Linked DNA regions of Nothobranchius furzeri. The protein of the gene in region 1 binds, or shares a complex with, the protein of each later gene. Links are inferred from orthologs where the notes say so. Each region holds a gene or a part of one and is shown in the gene's direction. Other genes may lie near its edges.

Region 1 (3,654 bases):
GTTCTAACGGAGCAGCGTCCAACTATGTCATGTTATGTTCGAGGAGCTGTGAGTCAAGCATACAAACGACAAAGTACAAGGAAAATGTTTATCGACTGTGTTCATAATTTTTTACCACAAAAATGAACTGATGATTGTGTATCACACTTTTATTTTACTACCTTCTAATTCTAAACATTTAGAAAATAAAGCTTTAAAATTTATCAAATGGACAAGTCAAGGGATCGTACGGTCGTTTTAAACAAGTATGATTATCTGATGGACAAAGTGGCCTATCACATTGTCATATAGCTTAAATGTATGATCTGACAGACATGTGCTGTCAGGCGTATGCTGTAACACGCGTATGCTAATCTTGACAACGTATGGTGATTGGACAGAACACCATTTCACGCCAGTTTCTTTCCCAATTCTCCTCCTGACCATCTCAAGGATCTGCCTGATTATTGTAACAGATTTAAAGATAGTTTTATCAGATATTCCTGCCGTGTGTGGTGTGTTAATAGCTCTCTGGTCTGCTCGGAAGGACTGCAGGACTGCTCCCGATCACAAATCGGGATATTAAACGTGATGGAATGTCTTGGTCAGACATTCTGCCGGTTGGATGTGACGTGTAGCCAGTCTGAAATTGTGATCTCGATTGGTCTGAGCTAATCTTGAAATATTTGACGATTTTCTCATCTGTAGTGTAGATTTTGCCGTGTAGCCAAGCGCCAAACACTAAAACTGGTAAATGTGATTTATTTATTTTTTTTAATGCCACACGTGGGAGTCTCTTATTTTGAAAATCATCCAACTTTGGCAGTGTGAGTGTCCTGTCACAATGTCCCGCTTGATGATGCGCACTGGCTACTTGGCCAAGGGGATGTCCCTTTGGCTGACTGGTTAGAGCGTATGACTCTCACCTGGGAGTCTGGGGATCGAATCCCGCCCGGGCCCTCGTTTCTCCAGCTTGCCACACTACCAGGACCATATCGAAGCACTTACCAACTTCTGCAGTCTTTAAGTTGTTGTAATGGTACTTTGTTTTTTCAGACACATCTTTTCTGTTATGCTGACCGTTAATCCCATCGTTCGACCGTCCCTGCCTCTTGTCTCACTGTATTTTGGCAGATGTTGGAGTTTTACGGGGATCACGTGGAGGCTCTTAACGTCTTGAACAACTACGCGTTAAACAAACGTTTTCCACCCAATCCAAACGCACACGTGTTTCTGTATCAGTTCCTGAAGAGGCACAACACTCCTGAGAAGAAGCTGATCAAAGTGTTAAAGGTAAAACAGCCCATGAAACTTATATTTTACAGATGATTATATCTCATATATTCCTAAGTATTAGCACTGATATTTAAGGACACATCTGCTTGCAAAACTTCCAAAATAACCTGTTTCCTGTTGTAGAATCTCCATGTTTTAGTCCCGAGCCACGAGTTGATGCTGGAGTACAGCTACTTCCTGCTTCAGTCGGGTAAAGTTCGCCTAAGAACACACTTAAATGAATAAAATAATAAAAACACATTAAATGAGTGTATCTTTTCAGCTTTTTAACTCATGATTTTGTATCCATATAACAAATGTTTGACCATAATTAATTTTATGTTTTGTTTTTGTTTTAAGAGAAAATAGGTGACTCTCAAAAAGCTTTAGGAGTCCTCCTTGAGATGCTGGACTTTGCCTGCTGGAGGAGCAACCTGGACGTGTGGAGGTGCTTGCAGGCCGTCGTTCAGGACCTGAGGTTACGGTACGCACAGATTTATGAAACTTTTTACATTCTCATTAGTTTTCCTGTCATAAATAGGAGCTAAAGCCTGATTAATTTCCCTCTGGGATTAATAAAGTATCTTTGATTTGATTGATTATCTGAGTTTTTGCTTGGATTTTAAACCAGAGACGACTGGGAGAGAATTGTCCAGGAACAGATGGCTTCAAGACAAGATTGGTGGCCTGTTCTGCATTTCACAAGCTTCCACGCTGCTAAAGACTCAAAGGAAAACCCCCAGCTTTGGAAAGTGAAGTCATCGCTACTTAAAATCCTTTGTCCAGGTGAGTAAATGCACGTGAGCAGAGGGCCAAATGCAAAAGTCATCTTAGAAAATTCTTTAATTTTTTCATATGAGCGAAACGTCTGTTTCAAAACATCGTAAATCTTTGTCTCAGCTTTTTATTTTTATTTTTTTATTCATCTTAAAATAAAACTAACTTTTAAAAGCTGATTGCAGCATCTGATTATCTGTAACTTCATTATCAATAATCTTTCAAATAACCGTAATTTCCTTTAAAATTTCAAGACGGATACATTTTCTAACAGTTTGTGAAATTATTTAAAGTTTTTGTCTCATAAAACGTTTGTAAATAAATGCACGATGTTTCCTGCCATCATGCTAGGCAGGCCCAAACGTATCGTGAGGGTCTGCTGGGAACGTCTGGCAGAGTCTCCTGTCAGAAGGAGCTTCAATTCTCACCTCCGACAGAACTTCCAAAATGTTCCGGGGGAGGCGGGGGACATTGAGTCTGAATGGACCCTGTTCCGTGCCTCCATTGTTGAGGCGGCCGACCGGAGCTGTGGTCGCAGGATCGTCGGTGCCTGTCGTGGTGGCAACCCCCGAACCCGCTGGTGGACACCGGCGGTTAGGGATGCTGTCAAGCTGAAGAAAGAGTCCTATCAGGTCTTTTTGGCCTGTGGGACTCCAGAAGCAGCTGACGGGTACCGGCAGTCCAAGCAGAACACGGCTCGGGTGGTCGCCAAGGCAAAAACCCAGGCATGGGAGGAGTTTGGTGAGACCATGGAGCAAGATTTCCGTATGGCTTCGAGGAGATTCTGGTCCACCATCCGGCACCTCAGGGAGGGAAAGCAGTGCACTACCAACAGGGAGGGAAAGCAGTGCACTACCAACACTATCTATAGTGGGGACGGTGTGCTGCTGACCTCTACCCAGGACGTTGTGGATCGGTAGGCAGAATACTTCGAAGACCTCCTCAATCCCATTGACACGTCTTCCAGTGAGGAAGCAGAGTCTGGGGACTTTGGGTTGGCCTCTCAAATCTCTGGTGCTGAGGTCACTGAGGTGGTTAAAAAGCTCCTCTGTGGTAAGGCCCCGGGGGTGGATGAGATCCGCCCAGAGTTTCTTAAGGCTCTGGATGTTGTGGGGCTGTGTTGGCTGACACGGCGCTGCAATATCGCGTGGACATCGAGGGCAGTCCCACTGGACTGGCAGACCGGGGTGGTGGTCCTCTTATTTAAAAAGGGGGACCGCAGGGTGTGTTCCAACTACAGGAGGATCACACTCCTGAGCCTTCCTGGTAAGGACTATTCAGGGGTTCTGGAGAGGAGGGTCCGTCGGATTGTTGAACCTCAGATTCAGGAGGAGCAATGTGGTTTTCGTCCTGGCTGTGGAACACTGGACCAGCTCTATACCCTTAGGGGGATCCTGGAGGGTGCGTGGGAATTTGCCCAACCAGTCTACATGTGTTTTGTGGATTTGGAGAAGGCGTTTGACCGCGTCCCTTGGGGGGCCCTGTGGGGGGTACTCCGGGAGTATGGGGTACCAGGCCGTCTGATACGGGCTGTTAGGTCCCTGTATGACCGGTGTCAGAGCTTGGTCCGCATTACCGGCAGTAAGTCGGGCTCGCTCCCAGTGAGAGTTGGACTCCGCCAAG
Region 2 (2,842 bases), on another chromosome or scaffold:
GTGTATTTAACACAATGTCTCTTTAATAATGGAAGAAAGACACAATATTTCTTTATATATGCACATCAAAGTTTATTTTATAGAGTAAACATTACTTTCTGTAGGAGAACTTGAGTGTGTGTTTATAACTTAAGAGGAATGATGAAAATAATTGATGAAATCTAGATAAAAATACTGTTTAAAAAAATTTTGAGATATTTTTGGTCTTTGATCATAATCTGGATTTAATGCAACCTAGTATCAATGTACACAAATTAAACAGATAATAAACAATTTAATCCTACTGTCTTATAAAATTTAAATACATTTTAAATTTAATTAACTTAAAAGGTGCTAGCTTAAGCTAACCAGTAAATAGATCGGTCCAAAATAAAGTAAACAGTTACTTCGAATAAATTATGATTTTCCTTAATACACATTTAATTTATTATATATTTTTGAAGCGACAATGAAATCACCCCCAACGACGCGAAATCCAAAAACGTCTAAACAATTAAACAAACCATAATCTCAATGGAGGTTTTAACCGGTTTTGTGTTTTTACTTTCTGCTTGTTTATCTCTGTGGAAAGTTTGAGAGAACTGAATTCGCTTAGCATTAGCATCCTGAGCTACCGCCTACATTAGCCTGGTGGTAAAGCAGAGGTCTCAAAGCAAACGTTCACAAACCTTTTAGGCGCGGACGGCTCCATGGTACACCAACTCGGAAACAAAAGTCAAACAAAGTATGAAAAAGAGAGCGCGGGTTTGTCAGTGGTAGTCAAGACGTGGACATTGTCGGCAGATTCGTTGTTGTCACAAACTAGTGGAGGAGGGCCAGCTGGGGGGAGCTCTTCAAATGATGGACATTCTTGTGTTCGACGCTGCGACAGCGCCCCCTGTCGGGACGGAAGCGCACTTTACATTGTTTTATTTTACAAAAACACAATTACGAATCAGATTGACAATGTTTGGCTCGAGTCAAAAACAAAAACTCTAAATAAAGTCTAATTTATTCATAAGGTCCCAAAAGAATACTAAATTAAGCCAGAATTTGTAGCGTAACGGTAATTGAAAAATGAAACACCCGTGTTGTGGATTTGCTTTCAAGAGGATGTTGTGTCAAGACAGGAACATTTTTAGTATAAAATATACAAAAAAAAATTCTTTGCTTCCAATTTTTAAAATCAGTTCAGATGTGTTTCGAATAATTCACAATGCCTCAAAACCGCTGGGTGACAGTAAAGGCACGTAAAGCGTGTCGATCGTCCTGTAAAACCAAGAAGAAGAAATTTGACGCAAGCGCAGAAACCCAATCGTAAAAGCGGATGGTTTAGTGTGTGAAAACAGTAAACATTTCCCAAATTACGCAGTTAAACGGTGAGTCATTTCGCTTCCTTTCATCAGTAATTAACTAAATGCATGTACACGGTTTAATTTGTGCTCTGTGCGTATACAGTTTCACCAAATTCAGAGACGTTTATGCAGTTTTGAGCTAATGTCCGGAGCACCATGCTGTTTCTGTTAGCATGCTAACAAGAAGAAGGGTTGTTGATGAAATGTTTACATTTCTGTCTTTTATAGAACAAAATGGACACACAGAAAGATCTACAGCCGCCCAAGCAGCAACCAATGATCTACATTTGTGGAGGTTTGCTGATGAAGCAACTATCATTGCAATTCTTGATGGTTTTATTCACGAAATATAGAAAAGTCATCAGAAAAATACTAGTTATGACTAATTAAAACATATTTCTTATTAGTAAATATTCCATTTTAGCCTGACAGCATGTAAACGTCGATTGTTAATGTGTTTGCACAATTATACTGTTCTAAATTAATTTTGCAGCAGTTCTGAAATACATTTATATGTCTTTATAAATGTATATATTTTTTTTTTATGCAGAGTGTCACACTGAAAACGAAATAAAGGCCCGCGACCCGATCAGATGCAGAGAATGTGGCTACAGAATCATGTACAAGAAGAGAACAAAGAGATGTATCCTTTCTCTCTCTCTCTCGTGTGTGTGTGTGTGTGTGTGTGTGTGTGTGTGTGTGTGTGTGTGTGTGTGCTTATTTTCCTTGACTCATTGATTCCAGTGGTTGTTTTTGATGCACGATGAAGAGGAGTGGAGCTGCAGATTGATCTTTAGTTGTTGTTTTCTGTTTTTATTGAGTCTGACCTTGTAAATAAACATAAACTGGGGCTTCAGCTTTCATGTTGGTGTAGATTCTCGCTCATTCGGGTCGTGGCATTCCTAAATTGCACTTCTTGCTGAAACATCTTAGAGCAGCAAGATAAATTCAGCCTTTTTGGTTTTTGGCATCCGCGGTTTGTGTCAGGTGTTCCTTATGTTATTTTAGTAAATAATAATGATGCATAAAAGTTTTATTTTAGAAAAATCAGTTTGATTTGACTGTTTTCTTTTAAAATCCTTTGTGGCCAGCAACATTAACAGGATGAAAACTCTTCAGTTAGTTTAACACATCTGCTAAATAGATATGATCCACAGTCATTCCTGAAATAAAAATCAACCTTTAGGATTTAAATTCAAAGTTTTAACCACATTTCTCTAAGAAGGAAAATTCTCATCTGCTGGCCAACAATTCACAGATTCACCAATGTTTTTTGGTTTGTTTATCTGAGAGCACGTTGTCGTGTTTATTTTAAAATTTTCATAATCTTGTTAAATTATGGGGTCTCATTTCTAAGTGAGACTTGTTTTAATCAAACATGCAAGAGAAGAAATTAGTAACAAGAATATTTAGTTACGAAGAAGATTGTAAAAAAAGTGTCTAAATAAAATGTGGAAAGAAAATCAGTTTCTCAAAAACGTTTGACTCAAAAATATTTAAGTGAAGAA
Region 3 (4,274 bases), about 7.9 Mb from region 1:
GAGGAGAACCAGGAGGACAACGGAGGGGGGGACACCGAAGCTGTAGTGACTCTTCACTTCACTGTGCAATACCTCAATGCAAGTACCTTTGTTAAACAGTTAAATTGGTTTAATGGTCAACGGTGCTAAGGACGTTGATATCCGGAAGGTGCAATTCAATTGTATTTTTATATTTATTTCTATTTTTATTATTATATAATATTTTCTGACGTTCTGTAACCTCTGTCGGTGTTGCGCTGCTTTTTTTGGAAACTGAATTTCCCGAAGGAATTCACCCGAGGGATTAATAAAGTTTTTTATTATTATTATTATTATTATTATTATTATTATTATTATTGTTCCCTCCTCTCCATGATTCATCATGCTGCCTCGCTGCTACCTACAACTGACTGGAAATTGTTTGTTGTTGTTATTGTTGTTGTTAGCATCAAGGGCAACATGCCAATTATCACTTGTAAGTCGCTTTGGACAAAAGCGTCTGCTAAATACATAAACATAATTTGGATTTGAATCTGAATGAAATAACTGACACGTGCACCAGGATAAAATCAAATTAGTCCAAATGAAAGCCATTGGACCAAATACATTAATTTAAAAGAAAGTCTAACTGTGAAAATAGTTTATTATTGCCAATTTGAGTTACCTACTTGTTTTTCACAATTAGAAGCCTGAGCTTTGGTGAAACATGTGAAATTATATAAAATATATATTTAACTCAAAATAATAGCTACATTAAACATAAATACATAATATGTAAGCAACTATCTTGTAACAGTTTATTTGATATTTTCTTGGTACACAGCAAATGAATAATTTCTTAAATTCTTTGTTTTGTTTTAGTGTTTGCTTTTATTTTGAAAGTGCGCCTCAGCTTGTTGTGCGTGTTGTCGCGCGCTCGACGGGCTCGTGAGTAGAACGCGTGTGTGCTCTCTGAGCTCGTGAAAGATGAACCCAGCAGTTGGGTCGTGAATTTTAGCGATTGTACAAGAAACATAAGCTCCTAACTTCCAGAACCACAACAGAAAGACACAAAAATAAAGTTTCTTCTGAAAAGCGACTCGATTCGTGACGTAACATAAGAGAAAGACGGAAACATCTGGCGAGTCTTTTTATAATCTCTGATCTCATCCAAATCCAAATCCGCTTTTAAACGAGAGGCCAAAGTCTGTAAAACACCACCAGCAAACATGACGGCCGAACCGAACATCAGATATGACAAAAATACAATAAAATACAGCAGAACTCTACATAAAATACCTTTTGAATAACTTTGTGAAAAATCTAAATGAGCTTTCAATAGTTTTAATTGGAACGTTGTAAAACATTTTCTTCCGGATGTACTTGACACGTAATTGATGAATGTTGAATTACACAGACAGCAAAAGCGAGTTATAACCATAGTTGGCGGTTGTAGTTCACATTGCAACCTGTTGGTGGCAGTATAGAAACCTTGCAGTCGCTAAAATCAACCGATGAAGATGAAGCGGTTCCAGCTACAAATACGCTTCTCTCATTTTAGCTTGAGAGCTAAAAGGAAAACCTAATGAATAAATTAAACACATAATGACCAGACTTTAGTTTTAAATCACGATGGATGAAGACGCTACGGTAAACACATTTAAGCATTTTTTATTTGTAAATATGTCGCGTACATTTAATTAAGGGGGAATGTTGATGTTAGCTAGCTGGTTGAGGCACACACAACCCTATTAACAACACGCCTTCTTTCATTATTATTAAATACGAAGTCCGAAAGAAATCATTTAACAACTTGGTCGGAATCTACAGCGGTCGGTTTAGTAATCGGCATAGATTTAGTAACGTTACCAACACGATCAACGTAGTTATTCAATCGTTCATGTAGAGGTTAGTAGTTTTGGCTAGCATTCCACCTAATTAGAGCTGTGAAGAAAAAAGAAAGAAAACGATCTTTTATGTAGCGCCTGTCAAGATAAAAATCACGTGGAGCTTAAAAAAAGTATAAAAAGGATTTAAAATATGTTTAAAATGAGAAAAAGTGGGAAACCAGTGGATCACATGAAAGGCGGAATAAGAGCAGAACACGGAGAGGGAGGTGATGAAGGTCCCACTAAAGCCTGCACAGGTGAGTTTAAAGGAGACCACGTAGTCCACTGACCTCAGGCTCGGGGGAGAGAGGTCCAAAGTCTGGGGGCCACAGCAGCAAATAATCTGTCACCTTTAGCCTGGTGCTGCACAACCAGTAGGCTTTGGTCACTGAACCTCAGGGACCTGCTGGGGGTGTAGGGACTAAGAAGATCACCAATGTAAGATGGTGCTTGTCCATGTAAGGCCCTATAGACCAGAACCAGGATCTTGAAATGAACCCTGAAATTGACTGGCAGCCAGTGAAGCTGGAGGAGAAGCGGGGTGATGTGGGTGTGTTTGGAGGACTTGGTCAGAAGCCGAGCACAGGCTTTCTGAACCAGGTGGAGCAGAAGCTGCTAATAGTTAAGCTTTTATTTGTGTTTATTATTTATTGAGTATTTAAACCCGTTTTGATGCACCAACATCCTGCTGTGGTCAAGAAAGTAAGATTTAACATTTTACTCTTTCTTTCTGTTTCATTTAATTTATCTAATTTTTCTTCAAAAGCTAATTTTTGTCTAACTCACTGAAGGTTCTCATTTTTCAAGTTTCTTACAAACATTTTTCTTATTATGCATCAGATTTTAGATTTAATTTATTACTTTTTATTTGCTTTTTTATTCAAAGTTTGTTGTGAATCTACTTGTGTGAGTTGTGAGAATATTAATAATATTAGTAATAATTTTTAGGTTTTTGTCAAAAGCTCAGGTGAGTTTGAGTTGCTCTCTTCACCCGTACCTGTGTTCCTGTCCAGGCTGGCTACAGGGAGCCCTGCGCTCAGTGTGCAGCGGTGAACTGGGGCATCTCAGAAGAAGGTCGTTTCTACTGCATGTCCTGCCACAACGTCATAGAGGTAAACAACAACAACAACTTACAAGTGATGTAGGTGTGTTTGGAGGACTTGGTCAGAAGCGGCGCACAGGCATTCTGAACCACCTGCAGACGGTTCAGGGAGGTTCTGCTCAGACACGTGAAAAAAGAGTTACAGTAGTCTAAACGTGAGGAGATGAAGGTGTGGATAACTGTCTCAAGTTCAGAGCAGGACAGAATGGGACTCAGCTTAGCAATGTTCCTGAGATGGAAGAAGGAAGAGCGAACAAGAGAACTTACATGAGAATCAATGAGTATGTTACCATGGTAACACTTCCTCAGATGTCTTAAAACTCTGAAAGTTAGAAGCTTCTAAATTCTCATATTGTGGTTTCTGAACATGTGTCTGCATGGACGTTATTAATGTGGGTTTAAGCTTTCCGTTAGCTTTAGCCATGCTAGCTTGCACTTCTGAGAGGCTGGAGCATTTAGTGTTAGACTGCTAGATAATAATAATAATTATAATAATAATAAGCACAGTGAAGGAAACTCCTGAGTTCACATTTTAAAGAGACAGTTGGTACCTTGCTGCAGCTGTTTACTGCTGATAATAATAATAGATTAGATTTATAAAGAGCTTTTGGGCTCTCTGCTGGTGATGGAAAACTCAAACGTAGCCATGCTGCCCTGGGGTTGTCTGAGAGGTGAGGTTGTCATTTTGCACTCCCTCTGATTACTGGACAGCAGGCTCTACTGATCTTAAGGTCCTCATCAGCTTGAATGATAAATGCTCTAGACTTTCTGACTGATTTCCTGTTTCCTCTGCCTCCCAAGTCCAACGCTTTTACGTACAATTGAGCCTGTCAGCGTCATTGCCATGGAACGTGGTTAAAACGGGTTTTTGGCAGCTGTAGTGCCTGTGGCTGTCAGCAGGAGGCGCTGTTTTATCTGAGGCCTCCCCTGATGGTTTTTATACATGTTCCTGTGCTCAGAGGACCATAGAGGTGGTGGACCTGAGCGTCGCTGGAAGCTCCAACAGATTAAAATCTATCGCCAAAGGACCCAGAACCAGTAAAGAAGGTGGGTGTGTCCTCTGAGGTGGTTTCAGCTGGAATAACCACACACACACATACACCACACACACACATACACCACACACACACAACTTTATTTTACAAACACAGACCTTTCTGGTCTCTAAAGCCGTCCCCAGATGTTTTCTAGCTGCAGGGGAACTTCAGTTTAGTTTCTGACAGGTTGATGTTCCTCAGAGCGCGGCTACACCTGGCTGGTCTGTGAGGGGTTCCAGTTCATCCTGAAGAACCAGGCTGACGCTCTGCTCCGGCTGGGAGTCGATC

Evidence for each region.
Region 2: taf1a (region 1) and polr2k share a complex: the UniProt entries of both Homo sapiens proteins name them as parts of the pol I pre-initiation complex. The link is inferred for Nothobranchius furzeri from reciprocal best matches to the Homo sapiens genes TAF1A and POLR2K.
Region 3: taf1a (region 1) and taf1b share a complex: the UniProt entries of both Homo sapiens proteins name them as parts of the transcription factor SL1/TIF-IB complex. The link is inferred for Nothobranchius furzeri from reciprocal best matches to the Homo sapiens genes TAF1A and TAF1B.

The regions. Positions count from the first base shown.
Region 1 is NC_091742.1:8,327,562-8,331,215, reverse strand, and holds part of taf1a (TATA box-binding protein-associated factor RNA polymerase I subunit A), read left to right. Parts: intron 1-1,113; coding exon 1,114-1,272; intron 1,273-1,398; coding exon 1,399-1,465; intron 1,466-1,614; coding exon 1,615-1,738; intron 1,739-1,885; coding exon 1,886-2,040; intron 2,041-3,654. UniProt on the Homo sapiens protein: Component of the transcription factor SL1/TIF-IB complex, which is involved in the assembly of the PIC (pre-initiation complex) during RNA polymerase I-dependent transcription.
Region 2 is NC_091759.1:1,441,013-1,443,854, forward strand, and holds polr2k (DNA-directed RNA polymerases I, II, and III subunit RPABC4), read left to right. Parts: upstream 1-1,226; 5' UTR 1,227-1,358; intron 1,359-1,562; 5' UTR 1,563-1,568; coding exon 1,569-1,629; intron 1,630-1,884; coding exon 1,885-1,977; intron 1,978-2,078; coding exon 2,079-2,101; 3' UTR 2,102-2,197; downstream 2,198-2,842. Other genes in the region: stk3 (serine/threonine-protein kinase 3), read right to left, coding at 669-691. UniProt on the Homo sapiens protein: DNA-dependent RNA polymerase catalyzes the transcription of DNA into RNA using the four ribonucleoside triphosphates as substrates.
Region 3 is NC_091742.1:16,192,601-16,196,874, forward strand, and holds the start of taf1b (TATA box-binding protein-associated factor RNA polymerase I subunit B), read left to right. Parts: upstream 1-1,458; 5' UTR 1,459-1,590; coding exon 1,591-1,608; intron 1,609-2,860; coding exon 2,861-2,959; intron 2,960-3,908; coding exon 3,909-3,996; intron 3,997-4,187; coding exon 4,188-4,274. UniProt on the Homo sapiens protein: Component of RNA polymerase I core factor complex that acts as a GTF2B/TFIIB-like factor and plays a key role in multiple steps during transcription initiation such as pre-initiation complex (PIC) assembly and postpolymerase recruitment events in polymerase I (Pol I) transcription.